3 linked regions of the Coturnix japonica genome follow. The main gene of each other region encodes a partner of the protein of the gene in region 2 in a complex. Links are inferred from orthologs where the notes say so. Each region holds a gene or a part of one and is shown on either strand. Other genes may lie near its edges.

Region 1 (6,195 bases), on a different chromosome or scaffold from region 2:
GCCGAGCAGCGAGTGGAGCACCTGAGGAGGATCCAGAGCGCGTACAGCAAGTGCAAGGAGTACAGCGACGACAAGGTGCAGCTGGCCATGCAGACCTACGAGATGGTGAGCGTCGGTGCTGTCACAGCGCTGTGAGTGGGGCCCTTTGGGCTCTGGAGGCAGTGGCACAGCTCTGTTAGTCTTAATGCTGCTGTATCGGCCTTGAGTATCTCACCAAAACAAACTATTACTTCTCAAGCTTGCTTCTGCCTTCCCCGTAATGCCTGCCCTCGTGTTACTGGGTTTGATGTCAATTGGACATCTGACAGCAGTACTGACAACCAGCTCACCCTGCCCACCTGCCTCTCACCCACTCATTTCCTTAGGGCTGCTCTGGTTATAAGCAGCAGTTTTTAGGTCAGCTTCAGAACTGCATTGTGGAGGAGCTGAGGGAACCATTTCCACTTAGTTGCCTTGGGTTGGAGCCCTGTTGGTTCCTCTGTGTGATAGAAGGTCCGGCTCTGCCTGTTGGGCTCAGTGGGAAAGTGGCATTTGGACTTATCTCCTCTTCTGCACTGACTGCTGTCCATTTATCTGCTCTTTGAGAAGTTCTCTGTTTCATCCCATAGGTGACTTTAAGCCAGCAGAATCCTTTCTTGTCTTCACTTAATTTCCTTTTTTCAGGCTGATATTCCCTTCGTGCCTTGCCTTGATCTGCTACATTCATGTTCTTAGGGAGAGCAGCCAAGCTACCAGACCTTCCTTGTTTTGCACTGGGAGTGTTTCTTGTGTTGTTAATTCAGTTTGTGGTTTCCTCTCTGTGCAGGTGGATAAGCACATCCGCCGGCTGGATGCGGACTTGGCGCGGTTTGAAGCGGATCTGAAGGATAAACTGGAGGGCAGTGACTTTGAAAGCTCTGGATCACGAAACCTGAAAAGTGAGTAAATGTTTTGTGTTTATCAGCTTTTTCCAGCACTGGGCATATCTAAGCAGAGGGCCTTGGGTACAGAGTAGACTGTCATTTCTAGATGCCATGGTGTAAATTCAAACTTATTTTAAATGCTCTTCAGGTATTCATAGAGTTGTGCTGGGCAAAAAACAGGAGAAGGAAAAGATCTAGTGCTGGGCTCTCCTTGTCAGTGTCCTGAAGTGGCGCTGGTTGTAAGGACACTACTGGCCACGGGGAACTAACCATGATAGTACTGAACTGATGCTCAGCTTGTGATTCCTACAGTTCTTGAGTTGAACAGTCGCAGCCTCAGGCTTAGTCTATCGCTTAGATTTGCAGAAGGCAATACATATCTCATCATATATGTTGCTATTTATTAAAGTCTCGTGTGACATTATGGACCACTATAACATACAATAATCTAATTTAGGTTGGATATTAGGAGGAAGTTTTTCACCCAGAGGGTGGTGACGCACTGGAACAGGTTGCCCAAGGAGGCTGTGGATGCCCCATCCCTGCAGGCATTCAAGGCCAGGCTGGATGTGGCTCTGGGCAGCCTGGGCTGCTGGTTGGTGACCCTGCACACAGCAGGGGGTTGGAACTGATGATCATTGTGGTCCTTTTCAACCCAGGCCATTCTATGATTCTATGACTTGCCAAAACTGCAGGTGTAGGACTTTGAAGCTTGACAATATTACTTTCAAAACTGGTGTGTTTGTGGCAGAAAAGTGTATGTGCATTTCATAATCAGTGCTTGTGTTTGGTTGCATGTGGCAGAAAGATTTCAAAACCACAAATGCTCCAAAAGAAAAACACCTGAGGGTGGTATTCAGACTGATTGAAGCGATGCTTTATCCTTCTTTATAGAGGGAAAAAGTCAGAAAGACAAAAGAAGCTCTCGTGGTCGAGGCAAGCGAACATCTGAAGAGGACACACCAAAGAAAAAGAAGCTGAAAGGAGGGTAAGCCGTAACCAATCACACTTCTGGTGACTTGAGCTCCACACTTCATGAATTTTCCTTGTGTTCCTGTTACCCTATTTATGACTCTTGTGTTGGGATGTTAGTGACGTTCCAGTATTCTGGTCTCACTAATTAGAGTCCTCCTTAAGACAAGTTAGCTTTGCTAATTAACTCCTTGCTTGCCACATGGAAACCCAGCATGCTTGGAATGCCCTCTGTCTGGAAGGACGAGATCAGAGTCTCTGTTGCTGTTGGCAAGCTGGGGGAAAATACCTTTGATTTTTGTCATGCAGCTATTTTTAACAGTTGCTTGTGATATTCATTGTAAAGAAACACTTCTCGGTTGGGACAAATGCTGATGCTGTGTTGCTCTTATAGAGATCTTGCAGAGTTTTTTTGGTTGTTTTTTTAAACAACAGTGTACTGAATAGTCTTGAATAATATAATTGTGTTCTGTGAAGCAAGGAAGGAGGCATTTCACCTGTCTGTCATGTGTTTTTTTTAAAGGCACTCTGTTAATTCCAATATATTCCATTGGTTAAGTGGCAAGTTGAAAAGTTGTTTTTGTTTGCAGCTCCGAGTTTGCTGACACCATCCTGTCAGTGCATCCCTCAGATGTCCTGGACATGCCTGTGGACCCCAACGAACCCACCTACTGCTTGTGTCACCAGGTGTCCTACGGGGAGATGATTGGCTGTGACAACCCAGACGTAAGCACTTGCTTTATTGCTTTATCGTCTAAATGCACTCTGTATCTTTTGAGACAGACAGTGAAATTCAAGGGGGTTACTTGCTCATTTTATCATCCAAAGTGAATGTAGCTGGTGAAATGCTAAGCATCTCCTCTGTGGATTTTTCCTTTCTTTTGCAGTGCCCGATTGAGTGGTTCCACTTTGCTTGTGTGGACCTCACCACCAAACCAAAAGGGAAATGGTAAGGACATGCAGGTTTTTGACTTCTGTCAGGCTATAGTTTCTCTCCAAAGGAATCACAAAAAGAATTGAAGCCCCATGGTGACCCTTCCCAACAAAGGAACTTCGTTCTTGTGGTCGGAGTTTTACACCATGTTGGGTTTGGGACTATGAAGGAGTGCAGAATTTCATGATAAGCAGGGCAGTCCATGAGCTTAGGCTTTTGTCAGAGTGTACAGCTTACATCTCATGTTTGCATTTGTTGATGTGATTAAGGTTAGGAAAAGAATATTTTCTGTTCTGCTTAGGGGAGCACAATGTAAGACTACAGCAGTTCTTCACCTATTTGTGTGCTATTTTAGAAGGAGTCCTAGGCTTTTTCCGTGCTTGCTTTCTTTTGCAAAGGAAAAAAGCTTTGCTAAACGTTGGCTTTTGCAATTAAAATACCACGCTCTTCAGTTTGCATAACAAAAGCAAAATTTAAAGAGGAAATGCAACGGCAGTACTGCATGGAGTGGGAACAAGTGGTAAGACTTGGTCATTGCATTTCAATCGGATATGGCGGTGGCAGCATGCAGTTGAATGACAGTTGAGTTGTTGAGTCTGCAGACTTTTAAAGACATGCAAATCCTTCTGTTTGGTTCATCTGACTATAAGATGCATGTTAGAATCGAGGTTAAGCAGAAGTGAGCTGCAGCCATTTGCAATCATTGCTGGGGCAGAATATCATTTTTCCTTTGACTGTAGAAGAAGCTGATGTACCAGCCTTGAGAAATTTGGTTGGAATAGCTTGTGGGTGAATGCAATAGAGCCCCTCAGAGCTGTGAGGGGCAGGTGAGCCCCTGTAGCCTTCCAGTGCTGTCCCTTCTGCCCACCAGTGTCCATACGGTTCGTTCCCTCTGCTTAATATTGCTGCATGCCATGTGAAGTGTTGCAGTTGGCTAAAATTAACACCGCCTCCACTCATTTCCAAGTAATGGAAAAGGCTCCCGAGTAATATGTTGTTAATTTTAGGAACTAATTAACAGCCAGGTTTTTTTTTCTCTCTCTCTGTAGGTTTTGTCCACGTTGTGTTCAGGAAAAAAAGAAAAGCAAGAAGTAAAGGGGAATAACCTCCTCTGAGGCGAGAAGAGTTTTAATATATTCCTTCCTTCATGTTGCAATATCATCTTTGATTTTGATTGTGATTTTAAAAGCTGCCCTCCTCCCATTTCTGATACGCTATTTAATTACCCAGCGGCCAGTTGTAATTCCTGTTCTTTTGTAAGAAAGTGACTTTGGGAAGGGAGGAATTTGCCACAGGGATTTTATTTATGTTACTCTGGCACTGCACTGACATCAGTGTTACTCCGAAGTGCTAGAACAGCCCATAGTCTGCTTGTGTTTTAGGAGTCTGTTAAACCCTGAGAGGCACTGCAGGACATTGAGATACCCAGCCTTCGGTGTGATGCTGCCTTCGGTGTGATGCTACCATCGCTGAAGTCATTCAGACCTGGAGCTTAGCATGGCAGGAAAAGCAATTCTCTCTCGTGCAGCCTACAGGAAAGGATTATCTCCATTGCTCTGGTGTGATGCCCCTTTGTTGTGCAGTTTTGTAGTACAGAGAGGATCGAAAAAGCTGATTAGCTGCTCCCAGTGGCTGTTTCCTCAGAGCCAAATGCTGTGCTTAGTATTGGCAGGATGAGTACGGGAGAGAGAGAGAGAGAAGACCATCCTTAGTATCTTCTCCTTTGGGGGAATTTATTCTGTCTAACTTTACACTGCCATTCTTTTACTTGGTTTTGCTCATATCCACAGCCTCAACAGAAGCAAGCTGTGGCTTTTAACCTCCTCGTGTCTTCTGGAACAAAACCTTTAAATATCAAAGGGGTTTTCCTGCAGTGCTGACAGTAGTACTGAGAGAGCAAGTTACCTTTCCTGTCAGTTTTTGTTGCTTTAAAAATGAACTTTAAGTGTGTTACTGTGAAGTTGATACCCAGAGTATTGTGGCAGGGGGTCCGATTTATCCATGCAGTAAGATGAAGGCTTGATGTTCTTATATCTCAAGCTTTAAGGGGAGATTCTGTTAGAGCAGTGTGTACATGCCAGTGATGATGCAGCAAAGCTGAAGGGCGGCTGTGTGGTAGCGTGGTGGCAGTTTGGTTCTTGGGTAGCTTTTGCTATGAAAAAGTGCCATTAGAGAAGGCAACGCAGCAGGAATGTCTTTAAGTCACTGCTTGTCTTTTTTGAGGGGCAACATTGCCTGTTCTTGACTTCTTGAAGCTGCCTTTCAGGTCTCGAATGTGAATGTTTGCTGTCATCACAGCGGTTGCTGCAGCAAAAGGATAAGTAGGAAATCATGAATAGGAAAACAAAACTCTGTTCTATTAGGGTTGTTTTTTTTCTCCTTCCAGAGTTAATAGTGGATGCAGAAGTCGGGGGAAGAACAGATAACTGTTGTCTTTAGGCATCCCCTGTATTATGAGGCTTAACTGCCTACAACAGAGACATTGTGGGTAAAGGCAGAAACCCATTCAGCAGAATGGAGCAGGGTCTGTGAGCTTGTGATGGCTGTTAATGGCATCTGCACATTGCTCTGCATGCCAGCTCTTGATACAGGCCGTTGGAAGGGCTTCCAGATAAGCACTTTCTTCTGCTTTAAAAACAACCTGACTAAACAGTACAGAAGGGAAGAAAAAGAAACCCAAAACAAATCAAATCTGACTTCAGCACCAGCTCCCAAAAGAAAAACGTTTTTCCTTGCCTTGCCCTGGCCACATCGTTTGTGTTTGGCCAGGAAGGAAAGTAGAACTCAGCTCATGGCAGTTCTGCCTTCCTGCTTTGCTCTGTTGTAGCTGCTGCAGGTACATTCAGATTGTCGCAAAGAAACCTTTTGGTACTGATTTCTGTGAACCCTCGGATGTATTTGCTGCACAGAAAACCTGCCTGCAGGGTCCTTTTGTTGGAAGGGTGACATCCATCTTTGCTGCATCGCATCACTCCGCGTTGTATATGAAGTTTCTGTAGTTAATGTTTACAGGACGATGCATGTTTGTCGTCGCTGCCCTGAAACTACACAGACAAGTTTGAAACAGCTGGTGGGAAGGGAGAGGGAAAGCACAACCTCCCAGAGCTGGGCTTAGAAATACAGCCAGCCTTCTCCTTCTTCCTGCCTCTGTTTTGAGAGTAAATGTAGTTGCGATACCTCATGAGCCAGCCTGTAATTCAGTACCAGCAGTAAGCCTGTACCTCACTGACCTGCTACACTGGATTCCTTCTAAGGGTGACTGTCCTGAAGGCTGCGATGCTGTCCCAAGTTCTGTTTTCTCCTTCCGTCCAGTGCTATTGTAAAGGTTTCCCCCTTGTCTCCCAAGGCTTTAGCAGTGCACGGTATCACCGTAAATCAAGCATTGGA
Region 2 (7,155 bases):
CAGTTATATTTTGTAATCAAATTGAGTTCCCATCCTAGTTATGGTGCTTCATAGGGAGGGAAAAAGCTAGGTTTTTTTATGATGTGGTATTTGTAACAGAGGCTGACCTTGTTGCGGTAGGTGTATTGAAACTAGAAAGTTATGTAAGTTTCATTTTATAAAGAGCTTGGATTTGGACTGAAAGACTGGAAGTTATTTACCTACTCTTGCTATGAGGAAAGCTATGAGAATGGGTTGAGGGATGAGGGCGTGTGTCTGTGTACATGCACACTCAGCTTCTCATTTTGCATGTTTTCAGTATAAATCAAATCTACTTTACAAGTTGAGCATTTCCTAACTGCGGTCCTATTTCATATTTACATTATGAGTTGAATTCTGTTCTTGTCATTCTGTGTATATCACTATATTTGAAAGTTCTGACACTGAATGGGATTCAGCCTGCTAATGTGGGAGTTAGATAAAAGAATAAAACACTGTTAATAACTTTCTGAATATGGAGATATAATTCTTAAAAACAGAAACCGTTTCTGTGGATATGTAGTTAGGTAAAGAACTATACACTCAGTATTTCTAACTTCAGCTTAGGAAGTTCTGCACAAATGTGCGGAAGAACTTCTTTACAGTGAGGGTAACGGAGCACTGGAACAGGCTGCCCAGGGAGCTGGTGGAGTCTCCTTCTCTGGAGATATTCAAGACCCGCCTGGACACCTACCTGTGCGACGTGGTGTAGGGAACCTGCTTTGGCAGGGGGGTTGGACTCGATGATCTCTAGAGATCCCTTCCAACCCCCACAATTCTGTGATTTTTTTTAAAAAAGCTTTGTTAACCTTGGAGGTATGAATGTTTTTCTAACTCTAAGTATGGGGGTAATAAAGGAATCGTTAATATGATTTTAAAATTGCATGGAATAAAGTTGTGGGGAAAACTTACTCTTCTTCCAGGATTATGTCAGTTCTTCTAGAGGTGAGACCTAGAGGAAAAAAGATTTCAGGCTGTTGAAAAGAACTGCACATACTCAGCAAATGGAAATACTGTATTAAAGATTTTCCTACAATGTAACAGTTATCATTTTTGTCTGAGCCTTTCTTATTATTTCCCTATAGTTGTTACAGTTAGCTCTTCTGAAGCATTTTTATGTTATGGACTGTGTAAGCACAGCTATACTTGGATAAGCTAGGGTTGTTGTTTTAATTTTCTTTTGGAAAAGGTTGGATAGGTAGTTTGGGGCCATAGAACTGAAGTTGCTTCTTACTGTAATGAAACTAATCTTCTTATATAAATTTTCAGAGATCATAATTTTAACTGTTGCTCTCATTTTAGGGAAACATTACCAAATGAGGAGGAAAGGAAGATGTCATCGAGTATCGGCAACAAGGCATTCTTCTTCTCCATGCAGTATTAAGCACTCCCCCACACGAGAAACCTTGACTTACGCTCAAGCTCAAAGAATGGTTGAAATAGAAATTGAAGGTCGCCTACATAGGATCAGTATCTTTGATCCTTTAGAGATTATATTAGAAGATGATCTTACAGCCCAGGAAATGAGTGAATGCAACAGCAATAAAGAAAATAGTGAAAGACCCCCAGTTTGTCTAAGAAGCAAACGGCATAAAAATAACAAAGTGAAAAAGAAAAATGAAGCTCTTCCGAGCTCACATGGCATACCTGCTACAACAGCTCCTCTTCCAGAACCAAAAGTACGGATTGTTGAATACAGTCCCCCTTCAGCTCCTCGGAGACCTCCGGTTTATTATAAGTTCATTGAAAAGTCAGCGGAAGAACTTGATAATGAAGTCGAGTATGACATGGATGAGGAAGATTATGCGTGGTTAGAAATAATTAATGAAAAACGGAAAAGTGATGGAGTGTCAGTTGTTTCCCAAAACATGTTTGAATTCCTTATGGATAGGTTTGAGAAAGAGTCTTATTGTGAGAACCAAAAACAGGGTGATCATCAGTCTTTAATAGATGAAGATGCAGTGTGTTGTATATGCATGGATGGTGAATGTCAGAACAGCAATGTAATCCTGTTTTGTGATATGTGTAATTTAGCAGTACATCAGGAATGCTATGGGGTGCCATATATACCTGAGGGCCAGTGGCTCTGCAGACACTGTCTGCAGTCCCGTTCTCGGCCTGTAGACTGTGTGCTGTGCCCAAACAAGGGAGGTGCCTTTAAAAAGACTGATGATGATCGTTGGGGACATGTTGTGTGTGCTTTGTGGATTCCAGAGGTTGGATTTGCCAATACAGTTTTTATTGAGCCAATTGATGGTGTCAGGAACATTCCCCCAGCCCGATGGAAGTTAACGTGCTACCTCTGTAAACAGAAAGGTGTTGGTGCCTGCATCCAGTGCCACAAAGCAAACTGCTATACTGCATTCCATGTGACATGTGCTCAAAAGGCTGGTCTGTATATGAAAATGGAACCTGTGAAAGAACTGACCGGCAGTGGGACAACATTCTCTGTAAAAAAGACTGCCTATTGTGATGTACATACTCCACCAGGTTGCATACGGAGACCTCTAAATATTTATGGAGAAGCTGAAATCAAAAACGGTGTTTGTAGAAAGGAGGGATCAGTCAGAACTGCTAGGTCTACATCAAAAGTCAGAAAAAAGACAAAAAAAGCCAAGAAAACAGTTGTTGAACCCTGTACAGTTATGCCAACTGTATCTGCTCCTTATATTCCCCCCCAGAGGTAAGCAAACCATCCAAGTGAGAGAAACCTTTACTTAATTTATCTGTTTAATTTTAAGCCAATGCTTTTAGATGGAGTCTTAGAAGTTTTTGTCCGTTTCTTCTGTCTTTGGCAACGATCGTGCTCAGGAGAGTAATGTAAATTCTGTATGTTGACAGTGTGTTAAAAATGCTGTAGCTTCTTTAGAGGAATTAGGAAGAGGTCTGAGGTCTGCCTTGTTTTCAGAAACTCCCTTTTTTTTTCCTTTTTTTTTTTTTTTTTTTACTTTGTCAGACCACATCATGTTGTGTGCTCTGTTGTCTGCTGTTCTTTTGAAAATTAGCTTCGAAATTCAAAATAGCTGATGTACTTGACATTTATTTAAAAAAAAAACAAGCTCAAAGTTAACCGTGTTTATAAGCTGGTAATCAAACTTCTTTTCCTATCTTGAGAACTCCAAAATGAAGATTAGATTTGCATGTATAGGATATTAATAATGTTTTTATCTTACCTAACTTAAATGTAAGCATGTACTGTATGATCTATGCAGGTACAAAAGGGTCTTCCAAGAGGTATTTTCCTTGTGGTACAAAATAATTTCTCAGGATATTTTTCCTATATCTTCATTAATGTTTCACAAATGCAATAGCGTTTATGAAGACTTGGGTGAATTTGTTACCTCTCATACTTTAGGTAATGCAGTCTTACTTGTGTAACTCAACATGAATGTGCTCTCCCATAGAATTATGCTGGCATATCTGTGGTCCCATAACTTTAGTACAGTTTCTCTTGAACAAAAACTAATGTGTGTGCAAAAGAGTTTTAACACCACGTTTGCTTACGAATTTGTCCTTTGTAAGAACTTCTGCTGATTCTTTTATTAGCGTATTGAAGTTTTCACAGAAGCTGTTACTTCAGTGCAAAATGTAAACATCAGAGCTGAGGATGCCCTTTACATCTAACATGCCATATTTTTATATTTTAGCAGTGATGATCAGTGGGCTGGCAGATGGCTCTAGATCTGGTGAGGCTAGTGAAGCGATGCTTGAATGAAAAAGCAGGAATGTTTTAAAGTCTGTTTTCATATGTAATTAACGGAATTGGAACAGAATGTTGCTTTTTGAATGCTTTTTATTTCAGGAGTTAAAGATTTTTGGAATGAATTTTGATTAAATTAGCTACACTGTAGTTCAAAAGAGCAGCGTTATCTCACTTCAGATTTCTTTCACCTAAACTGAGTTATAATTCATTTCAGTAGTGGAAATATATGTTTATGGGATTTGAGCAATGGAATAAAGCTCTGGGTTAGAAAAACAGGGTTTTAGCTCTGCTGAGCATTTCAGACATAATATACTGTGCTGAGAAGCATTAAATTGGACTGTTGGGACTAAAACCAAGTTTGTCTTTATTATTTGTTTTGCTTCCAGCATCTACAGCAGCAGTATATTTGTTTACCCCTTGAATTAAATTCTTACTGAATTTAATAACCGTACATTAAAAAGTTTCTCTGTAGAGGCACAAGTTCCATGTACAGGTTAATCGTGTACAAGGCTCTTAAGATGCTATAAATAAACAATGCTTTTTGAAAGCTGGCTACCAAGTATCAGGTGGTGGACGTTTGAAAACCAGTTAAATTAGTCTAAACAGTGTTTGGAGATGAGAGTTTTCCTGTAATAAGGACTACTAATGTATGTAGGTACTCACTGACTAATTTTGTCAGCCTTTAGCCTCCTGTGCGATGTTTACAGACATCATCAGGTGATTGCACTGTTCTGTGTCATGGCTCACTTGGCACAATTGTATTATTTTTGTTAAGTGATGCACCAATGAAAGGCTTAAGTTGGTAGTTAGCAGCAGATAATGTTATACGAACTAATACTGTTGTCCATGGGAGAAAGCTTATAAAAACAACTTACCTGAATGAATATCATCCTGATTGATTTTTATTTTGTGTCTTCTTGCCAACAGAAAGAACTTGGACTAAATGAGAGTTGAGAACTGGAATGTGTGTTCCTAGTTGTAGCTTTGGCAATTCTACCCACAGATGACTTTTGTTGAAGTCAGACCCTGACACTGAAGGGATGCCATCATCAGAATTTTTTTAAAGTGTTTTTAGTTTCCAGGAGCAGATATATAAAGACTGTTGATTTCTTTCTACTGAGAGATTCCATGTATGCTCAGGTTCATGTTACTGTATACATGGATGTTTGTTGGGATAACACATTCAAATGATACTTTATATCAGAAATGTAAAAACAAAAACAAACAAAAACACAAAAACTTAAAGTTTTTAACTTTGTTATAAATGTATTGTCTTCATGCAAGAAGATTCTTAAATATTCTTTTTGATAAGGATGCATTTAGTCCTGGAAAACTAATATCTGAATTGAAAGCAAAACAGAAATGGGCACGTTAAAAGGTGAATTTTATTTTCCTTTCCCAACTCTCAGTTGTCCAATTTTTTATTTTTTTGTTGTTGTTGTCTAGAAAAGCTGTGTTTTTGATGTGGAGTTAATTACACACCTATATACTAGTAACAAATTATGTGAAGTGTTTTGTATCTGTCTTCATTTAAATTGTGCCTTTAATCTGTTCTTAAGTATGTGAATTGTTTTTTCTTTCCTTGGAGTTGGAATGTGATTTACCTTCCCAGAAAACTTTAAGAAGAGCAATTATTCACCTGCAGAGAAGAAAAAATAGGCTCCAGCTTTAAACACTGGTGCATTTTATTTTATTTTATTTTATTTTATTTTATTTTATTTTATTTTATTTTATTTTATTTTATTTTATTTTATTTTATTTTATTTTATTTATTTTTATTTTTTATTTTCTTCCCCTAAAAAAAATGAAATGAACCTTATTCTTTCCATCTGTGAGGACTGAGGAACGCCTGGGGAGCTGTTTGGTTTTGGTTTACTTTCTTCATCATTAATACCTAGACTACACGTGTTCATGGCTGGTTCTTTAGAGATAGTAGTTGCAGTAGTACATAAATGCTAATTTGAACACAACTGCTTGGAGAAACTCCTTGTCATTTATGTTTAGTTGAATGTAGTAGGGATATATTTTGTTTCCTTATCTGTGTAGTGAATGTGTGTAAAAACCTGAACATTTTACTATCACCATTTTAGTAATTCTGTTCTCTGAAATGCCTCTGTTTGTTTTAAGATACGTTAAAAATAATGTTGTAAAAAAGTATCATCATTTCTACACAGTTTTTTGTAACTTGTGAATTTCTGTATCTCTGTTCCTTAGATTCTGCTGTGAGTGGCTTTGAGACCTGTATTCTTTCCAGTTACCATTGTTTCTTAGCAAATGTTATGCTTGAAACTGTTTACAATTATGTAGGTAGTATCATGCCTTGGTTATTTGTGATCTAATTATATGGCCTTTCAGACTGTCATCTGTGAACTGCTGAGCGCAATATCAGAAGGTGTTGAATGTCAATAACAGGAGATGAATGCTTGTTTCCCACTCACTTTTTATTTCTGGGCATCCATTTCTCATCTTGTACCTCAGCTTTTCAGGATGTCTGTATAAGTGTCCACTTCCAGAGATACAGTGTGTCATGTTAGAGCATTGAGGTGAATTCATTGCTTGCTTCTTAGTAAGTTGCTTAGTGCTTGGAGTAAACCACTGGGAAATTTTCTGGGTGGATATGCATCTGGCCTTCCTGGCTATATAAGTGTTCTTTAGTCAGAGATTCTACTCAATTCTTCTTTAAATATGAAGTACTGAATTGTTGATTATGCTGTACAGACAGTACTTGACTCACTGACACAGGCCTCCTGCAGCCACCAGCTGATCTGTCTGGAAGTAGTGGTAGGTGGATTTTGCACTGAATATCTGCAGGGCTCATGCTTCACTGATGATATACGGTGGTTGAATTTCACATAGTTAGATAAGAGTCTTTTTTCTAATTAAGTATGGGAAGTGTTTTCTTACATTTCAGGTCTAAAACTTCGAAGGTAGGAAATTTTGACTTCTACAGTTGAGTTGACAATCTAAGACTTCCTTCATATTTGTTTGAGTTACCATGTACTGGCTCTGTACTCCTTTTCTTGTGAATTGTTCCTTCTGTTGTTGGCTATCATCATCCTTTTTAATAGCTGCCTTACCCTGTGAATTAGTTTTTCACAGCAAACATTACAGTTTTTCTCTTATTCTTGAGTGCTTGATTCTGTAGCACAAATAACATCATTTTGGTGTAATCTTTTGATCTTGTTAAAGAGGCGTCTAAGATGTGATTGTTTTATGCAAAACAAAGTCAGTATTGGTATTTGTGTCCTTGAAAAAAATGTTGTATAACCAGGATTTTATGGGCATATACTTGAGGGAAAGGTAAATAAAATACTTAATCTTCAGTAATTTGGAAACACATGCTGAGACCCTGTGTTATTTGCATCATTAAAATAACATTTATGCAGGTATTTTATTAAGGGGAATCAGACAGTTGGAAGTAAATAGATGCTTTT
Region 3 (7,155 bases), on a different chromosome or scaffold from region 2:
CTTCTTAGAATTAAAGTTGATGCTCCATGACACACTTCTGCTTCCACATCCTCCTCCTGGCAGCCTCCCATGCAGGACCAGCTCATGAGTGAATCCACGGGGCTTCAATCTCTGTAACATCCAACCTTGAGGCTGCTTTGTGCCTTTAACACACCAGGCGCAAAGACGGGTCCCAAATCAGCTCCTTGAAGCATAAAGCGGCAGCTCTGCTTAACTGAAGATGGAGAGTAGACAAGAAAATGCAGGGAAGGCACAGACCTGAGCAGAGAACATGCTTTATTGAGAAGTAGATACAAGAACAGCACATTCTACCACATCTTGGGAATGGGGTTTAGCTTCTGTACAAGAATGGCCTTCTTCCCTACTCCAGAGATCTACTTTGTTGGGTATTTTTGTGAGTAGCTGTAGTTAGTTACAATACAGGAGCAAAGGGCACGAGACAGCACAATTCAGTAATGCCCACAAAGTACAACATCATTGACTGATGGTCTTTTTTTTTCTTTTCTTTTTTAGTTTCTTCTTTTATAAAGAGGCAGAGAAAGGCAGACAACCACCAGAAGGGCAACAGAGAACTTTACCACACAAGGATGGGTCAGTGGTTAACGGGAAATGGCTCCTACCTACTGGTATGGGATGCTGCAAGTGCTTCACTTCAGTCACCATTCAACAACAAGAAAAGCATTGGAAGGTTTCAATGAAATCAGCACTAAATGATGCTGCCATCACCTACCCCAAGTCTGTGCCCTCCTTTTAATGACGCCGGAGCCATATAGCAAACTTGAGGCACAAAGACAGTGGTTATACTTGAAAGCCATTGTATGATAGTTTCATCTGGTGCTGCTGATGGGACAGAGGAAGTAAAAGCTTTCTTGTTTTACAAAGACAAACAAGGCTGCACTGTCAGAGAAACAAACCATCCACACAGCTACGTGAAGCTGCCACTGATGCACGGAACACAAATTGTAGGCAATCCAACAACTGGTGGTATTTGGATTTCAGAGTTTCTGTGGCTGTTTGGATAAGGTCAGCAAATATTTATCTGCGGTGAAGATTTCATTCCTTCGGTCTTGAGGGAAGAAAAAAAATCCTTCCTCAATAGAAAGAGGCCTACGATCCAAAACATCCCCAGTGAAATGGGTTGGTTTTGTGTGAAGGAACCCAGCAGCTCCATGAGAAGAACCAGGTAAGCAGCAATATGCAATGACAGAGGTGTCCCCAATAGAAGTGGCACCACTGTAGATCCAGGAGCACACAGCAAGAGCAGCTCTATGAAGTTTATCAGACTGTGGATTTCTCAGGCAGTCAGCTCACACTCCCCTGGGATAACACTAACAATCACAGCACTCAAGTCACAAGATAGGTATAAGCTTCTGACTGCACAATCTTAGCTATGCAAAGACCTGCTGTATGGTATGGAAAACGCTGCTCAAAGAGGTGGCATGTTGCCTTAGTAGTATTATTTCACACGTGGAATGGAACAGCCCATCAGACAGGACTGGTTAAAAAATGCTGGAGTCAGTGTAAATGGCAGCTTGCTTAGGAAAACAGCCTTTCTGCAAACAAGTGTTGTTAGACCTTGTTCAAAAGCCACAGAAGTTACCTCCGTTACTTACAAAGCAAGGAACCTGAAGGAAGGAACAACCAGGTAACAGGACACAACACAACCTCATCGGAATAAGAACATGAGGGTAAGACCAGTGACTGGACAGGTACAGTACCAGATATCAGAACTCCTTGGGCCAGCGCTACTAGGAGCTTCGTTTGGGTCCTATACAGATCCAATCCTTGCAACCTCATTGAGGCCGAAACATAAAGTTCCTCAGAACTAGCTTCTGGTGTGCACAAAAGATCCGGGCCAGAACAGTACCAAGGGGAGCTGATCTTTTGGGAGGGTACTGTACCAGCCAATCACAACAGCAACAGGTACAACAGAGATCCCTAGGGTACTTCCTACTGCTGGGGTTCACTGGCTTCAGAAGTGACAGACAGTTAAGTTCCCTTCGGAGGGGTCCATTTCAAACAGCTGGGATCCATTATCTTATTGCTGTTGGATCTTTTTGCCTCTTTGGCTATCCATTCATCGATCAGATCCTGAGGAGAAGAGCACAAAAGGGTGGGTTAAAACAAACAGGCTGTGATGGGGGTATTATCCAAAGTACAACACCAAACATCGAAGTCCAGAAATCTGATTAACCCACTCCATAACTGCTGAGCAGCTCAAAAATAACTTCTATTCCACAGCACTTTCTAGAAGCACTTCCAACCACACTGATAAGGCTTCCTGCAGCTACAAAGTTTCGGAAAGAGCACATCAGTGAGAGAAACTGACATATCTTTGGGGGTTTATAAATCATTTGTCTTATACCTAATGAGGATCTAAACAGGACACATTCAGGATTCATTTCACTACTGTGCCTCCATTTGCCCAATAAAGGTTAGGCACGATGAGGGGCAAGAGATGAATGTCAATCCATCAACCCCCTAAAAGCTGCTTACAATGAACAATGTTATCCTATACATTAAATAATATCAGTCTATGCAGCCTATTTCTACACTACTGAAAAATCAAGCTCAGCGCTGATGTTTTATTTGAGTAGCCACTGCATTTCAAAATGATGGCGCTCCCCACTGAAATCAGCCCGAACACCAAAGATAACACTGACTTCATTAGTTCAAGTGAATCTAACAGCTAAATGAAGAAATAAAGGAGCAAAGAGAGCTATGAGAGACCTTACCTGTCTTTTTAGGACCAGGTGTTTTCCCTTCCAGTACTTCAGCATCTGCAGCGCCTGCAACGTACTAACAATGTCGACAGGGTTTACTGCAGTCTCCTGGCTGATTTCTGCAAACCAATAGCAGTTTAGGTTAGAATAGAAACAAATCCCACTGCAACAGTCTGTAACAGTCAGTTTTCAACTAAAGTCTTATGCATCTGACTTAGCCTCTGACTGCTCTGGTTATCTGTAGCACTGTTATACAGGTTGCCTGTGGTCAATTCACTTGCAAAACATTTGAAAGCTTTTAATATTTTCAAAGGTGCTTACAGAACTCTTCAAGTTGGATTATTTTTGCTGCTGGAAGGACTAAAGAGGAGCAATATCCAAACACAGGAAGATTCCACCAACTGTGCTGCTACACAAACACGTGCATCAATGCGATGAGCGTGACCTGTCTCATATTTGAGGTTGCATAGGCATGTTCCTGAACCGGTTTATTCACGTTGAAATTGTACCTTTTATAGAGATCTCTTTTCCTTGGAAATTATGCAGGTAACGAAGGAGAACTTCCTTCCAGTAGCTCCGGTAGCTGATGAGACCCAAATCAGACAGAGGACGCTCTGGAGAGCCAACTTTTTCTTCTACTTTAGAAAGCAAATAGCCTGTAAGGAAAGGAAATTTATTTCTCCTTCCCAAACTACGCCCTCCTGACTGCTACACTCTTCAGCACGAGAAGAAATCAGCTCTAACAAATGCTTCTATGCAGATCTAACACTGATATGATACACATATCTAACAGATATGTTAGATACTGGGGTGAAATTGTTATACCAAACTGAATGTTTCCAAAATGATTCTCTTTATACTTACTGAAGTCAATGAGCATCTTGCCATAGCCTTGCCTCATGTACTGGGGCATTGTCAGGATACAAGAGACATTGTAATTGAGAAAAGAATTCTTCTCCTAAAAAATCAAGAATACAGAGAACAAATTAACAAGTTTAGATCTGCACAAACAATAGGCTGTATCATAACCCTATCAGACAGAACAAGCCTTTACAACTGATTCAATACAAGGTGAAAGCAGGCTGGCTTAGCATCTGACTTTATCAGCCAGTGGGTGCTTGGTGCACAATGTAAAGCTCAGGGTGGCAGCACATGGAACTGAACCCAAGCAGCAGTCACTCCCACTTCTGCCATCTAACAGGTTTATATGCAAGAAGAAAGCAACCAACCTTAGAGAAATATCCTATCAGGTGGCAGCCAGTGTTGTCAGCTTCTGTCATGACATAGAAGAGGAATGGTTCAACATCATAATACAGTGTTTTATGGTCCAAGAAAAGCTTTGCCAGCAGACATAGGTTTTGACAGTAGATCTAGAAACAAAAGGAGAGTGTGAACAAAACCAGACATATGTGGGAAACACAAAGGAAGGTCTGCATCTGAGAAATGATGTGGAGCCTTTCAGACAGAAACAATCCCATTTATGAAGATACTTGATAAGGTGAAATTTGCAAGAGTGGGAATTTCTGTTGGTGATACCTATCTCTGAATACTCAAAACATCACATTCTCAGTGAAAGGAAACAGAAGGTTGGACCTCTGCTTGTTTGTATTAATCCCATGCTTCAAGGTCACCTGTGGGAAACAGAAATTCTCCCCCCAACTTCTGGCAGTGCAAAACTTAGCTTTGAATCAGTTCTTCCCTCTGAAGCCTTCAGGACTGGACACACCTAGAGACTGCTGCTACCTAGCACTGAACCTGTGGTTGCAGATGCTCTACCCTTCATTTGAGGGTCAAGGTCACCCTCAGTAATAACAGCCTACTTTCCACTCTAACACAAATGTGAATGTTCACAGCTGAATGAGAGATGCAGTAGCAATGTACTGAAGCCACACACAGAAGCTCCCCATTCATTTTAAGAAAGGGATCCTGCCATAAGCCCCCAAAAGCTATTGATCCAACAGAGTGCAAGAGAACAGGTGAAACTGCATGTGCACAACAGCAGTGAGGAATAACCACAGTGAGAATGCAGACAAAACAAACGTCAGAATTGCAAGAATGCACAGACCAGCCTGCAGTAGCCTTTCCACCATTAGAGAGAGAAAGAGCCATTTGCATCCTGTTTCTCTACAGGAAAAGCAATGCTAGGCCTATTAATACAATTAATTACCTTGTTCTTTTTCCCATCGACTTCAAACACTGAAATGGAGCCTTTGCGGTAGATTTCATCACCTGGTGGATGTTTCCAAACACATTTTGCCTATGAGAAGTAAACAAAATTAGGGTGACACTACTGTTTTTAAAGGTAGAAGAGGTTACAACAGCTGCTGGATACACCAGGAGACACGCAAGCTTGTTTAATTTAAGTTAAGATCTCATTTCTGATCCTCTGTAACCCACTGAACAGACCAGAAATCAAGCCTAGGAAAACTTTCTTTTACAATGACCCAGAATCTTCTCACCTCTCAAAGTGAACAACTGAACTGACAGCAGTAATAATGCTTAAAAACCATCTGCATGCTCATGCCTGATTTGAAGCTCAGGAATCAAAGACCTTTCCCAGCCCTTACCATGTGTCTGCGCAGTATTGTCTGGCTCTTCATGTACTTGAGACAGAACTCACACATGTAGAGACGTCCCAGACGAGCATACTCCTCTGGGTATGGAGAATGATACCAGGTGTCCAGTTCATAGCGGCCAAAAGCGATAGTTTTAATCATATTGCTGCCTTCTGTGATCTGGCCCTGGAGCCGCAGCTTTTCCTATGAATGAAATCCATTAACAGCTATTAACATATGCCTTAAAGGGATGCTGAGAGGAAGGGGCTGTATTTCTTTCCCTCAAGGAGATCCTTCACTTTAAGTCTGTGACCTAATGACATATCCCACAAACCCCTCAAGTAAACTAAGCCTGAGCCCAGCTCGCAAGCACTAGCTAGTGGTGGAAGAATGACTTAGAAAACATCTTTAAACACTTCTGCCCTCATCTGCAGGAAGAGATACAGCCCAACTCTCAGCCTTGAGACATCCCAGATACCACTGTCACTGGTGAGCATCAAAGAATCTTTTGCTTCATTTCTGGAGATGGGAAGTAGCTTTGAAGAGCACCTACAGAAGCCTCAGCCACAATATAAGGATTTTAACCTCATTCAGTCACCAATTACTGCCAAGACTTCTGTCTTTCATTTCTAATCATTCCTTTGCTGCTGTTTCCATGGGTGAAGCTGTCCATTCCCTTACTGAAAAGATACACCTATTAAGTGAGGCTGTTACTAATTATTCCTCATCCAAGGCACTGCGGCATTTGTCTCTGCAGATGTTCAGGTCCATTTATACTTTCAGTAAACCCACTGAGTGATTTCAGCATCACACCTACTCTAACTGTGCTGACTCGGCTGGGCTGTGGGTGCTAATCTTACAGTAGATTCTACCTGCTCAGGTGCAACAAAACCCAAAAACCATTCACATTTCTGAACAACTGTGAGCTAGAAGACTCACCAGGTCCTCAGATGCCCGTGCTTGTGCTCTTCGGAAAAGCTCGAGGTCATACTCACTAGTCAGGTTCTCAAGGAGAGGTTCCCTAGTATTGCCATAAGTTTGCCTGTGTTCCTAGAGCAAGAAAACATAAAAAGGAGATTTTATTGACACACTCCAACCAGGCTGTTGAATTTTGCACCTCTTTTAACCAAGAATGTTTCATTCCAGATACAAAGGAATGAAAGAATTGCTGCTTTTACCATGTATTTTTCTTTTTGTTCCTTGCTTAGTCCTGAATTCCTCTTCTTCCTGAGCTCAGCTACTTTCTCTTTGTATCGAAGCTGTCTCTCTGTTGGTGCCTGAAAAAGAAACAGAGTCAGAAAGCTTCATTAGGCTTCATGCACTTCAAATATTCACCTACATCTTTTCACCCTGAAGGAGCTCTGTGCTGCCTTCTATTTTTTATCACATTTGTTGCCTCCAAACCGAATCCTGCATGCATAAAAAATCACTTAAGGTATAACACAATTTTTTCTCCTTTATGTAGCTTGCCTTTGTCAACACACCTCAGTCCCACAAGACAGGGTGCAATCCTTATGCACTGCTTAATCACGTGGAAAAGCTCACTGCTGACTCATCAGCTCACCCTGACTCTCAATCAGGACTCATTTGAATTGAGAAACATAATTCCCCTGATGGAACTATGCAGAGTAGAATGGTGGCATATGGGTCTGCAGAAATTCAGCTGAAAAGCTGAAAGCACACGGAAAAGACCATTGTGAGAACAACTCCAGCCTCTTCTGTAATACTACTGCTCAAAGCCTCCTCTTGGCTCTCACCAGCTGCTCCAGGCTCTTACCGAAGGAGAAAATGAATTTTCCTTGCTGAAACAAATTTGAGATTGCAAAAGAGAGCCACAGGACTTAACACGATAGCTTAACTAAGTGGTAAAGAAGGGA

Evidence for each region. The genes of interacting proteins can lie anywhere in the genome.
Region 1: BRD1 (region 2) and ING5 share a complex: the UniProt entries of both Homo sapiens proteins name them as parts of the MOZ/MORF complex. The link is inferred for Coturnix japonica from reciprocal best matches to the Homo sapiens genes BRD1 and ING5.
Region 3: the proteins of BRD1 (region 2) and KAT7 are in contact, whole or in part, in a crystal structure (PDB 5GK9), measured with the Homo sapiens proteins. The link is inferred for Coturnix japonica from reciprocal best matches to the Homo sapiens genes BRD1 and KAT7. Residues at the interface, in XP_047297239.1 of Homo sapiens: Val40, Ile42, Glu43, Ile44, His49, Arg50, Ile51, Ser52, Ile53, Phe54, Asp55, Pro56, Leu57, Glu58, Ile59, Ile60, Leu61; in NP_008998.1 of Homo sapiens: Leu531, Phe534, Gly536, Lys537, Glu538, Ile539, Ser540, Ile541, Lys542, Pro552, Val553, Val556, Gln560, Leu565, Tyr567, Lys571, His572, Leu573, Val574, Leu575, Lys576.

Annotation. Positions count from the first base shown.
Region 1 is NC_029524.1:3,637,693-3,643,887, reverse strand, and holds part of ING5 (inhibitor of growth protein 5), read left to right. Parts: coding exon 1-105; intron 106-805; coding exon 806-917; intron 918-1,796; coding exon 1,797-1,890; intron 1,891-2,464; coding exon 2,465-2,600; intron 2,601-2,761; coding exon 2,762-2,823; intron 2,824-3,857; coding exon 3,858-3,903; 3' UTR 3,904-6,195. UniProt on the Homo sapiens protein: Component of the HBO1 complex, which specifically mediates acetylation of histone H3 at 'Lys-14' (H3K14ac) and, to a lower extent, acetylation of histone H4. Component of the MOZ/MORF complex which has a histone H3 acetyltransferase activity.
Region 2 is NC_029516.1:16,759,147-16,766,301, reverse strand, and holds part of BRD1 (bromodomain-containing protein 1), read left to right. Parts: intron 1-1,320; 5' UTR 1,321-1,334; coding exon 1,335-2,701; intron 2,702-7,155. UniProt on the Homo sapiens protein: Scaffold subunit of various histone acetyltransferase (HAT) complexes, such as the MOZ/MORF and HBO1 complexes, that acts as a regulator of hematopoiesis.
Region 3 is NC_029542.1:2,700,124-2,707,278, forward strand, and holds the end of KAT7 (histone acetyltransferase KAT7), read right to left. Parts: intron 6,556-7,155; coding exon 6,457-6,555; intron 6,329-6,456; coding exon 6,218-6,328; intron 5,483-6,217; coding exon 5,291-5,482; intron 4,981-5,290; coding exon 4,891-4,980; intron 4,094-4,890; coding exon 3,953-4,093; intron 3,682-3,952; coding exon 3,588-3,681; intron 3,380-3,587; coding exon 3,233-3,379; intron 2,843-3,232; coding exon 2,736-2,842; intron 2,092-2,735; coding exon 1,990-2,091; 3' UTR 258-1,989; downstream 1-257. UniProt on the Homo sapiens protein: Catalytic subunit of histone acetyltransferase HBO1 complexes, which specifically mediate acetylation of histone H3 at 'Lys-14' (H3K14ac), thereby regulating various processes, such as gene transcription, protein ubiquitination, immune regulation, stem cell pluripotent and self-renewal maintenance and embryonic development.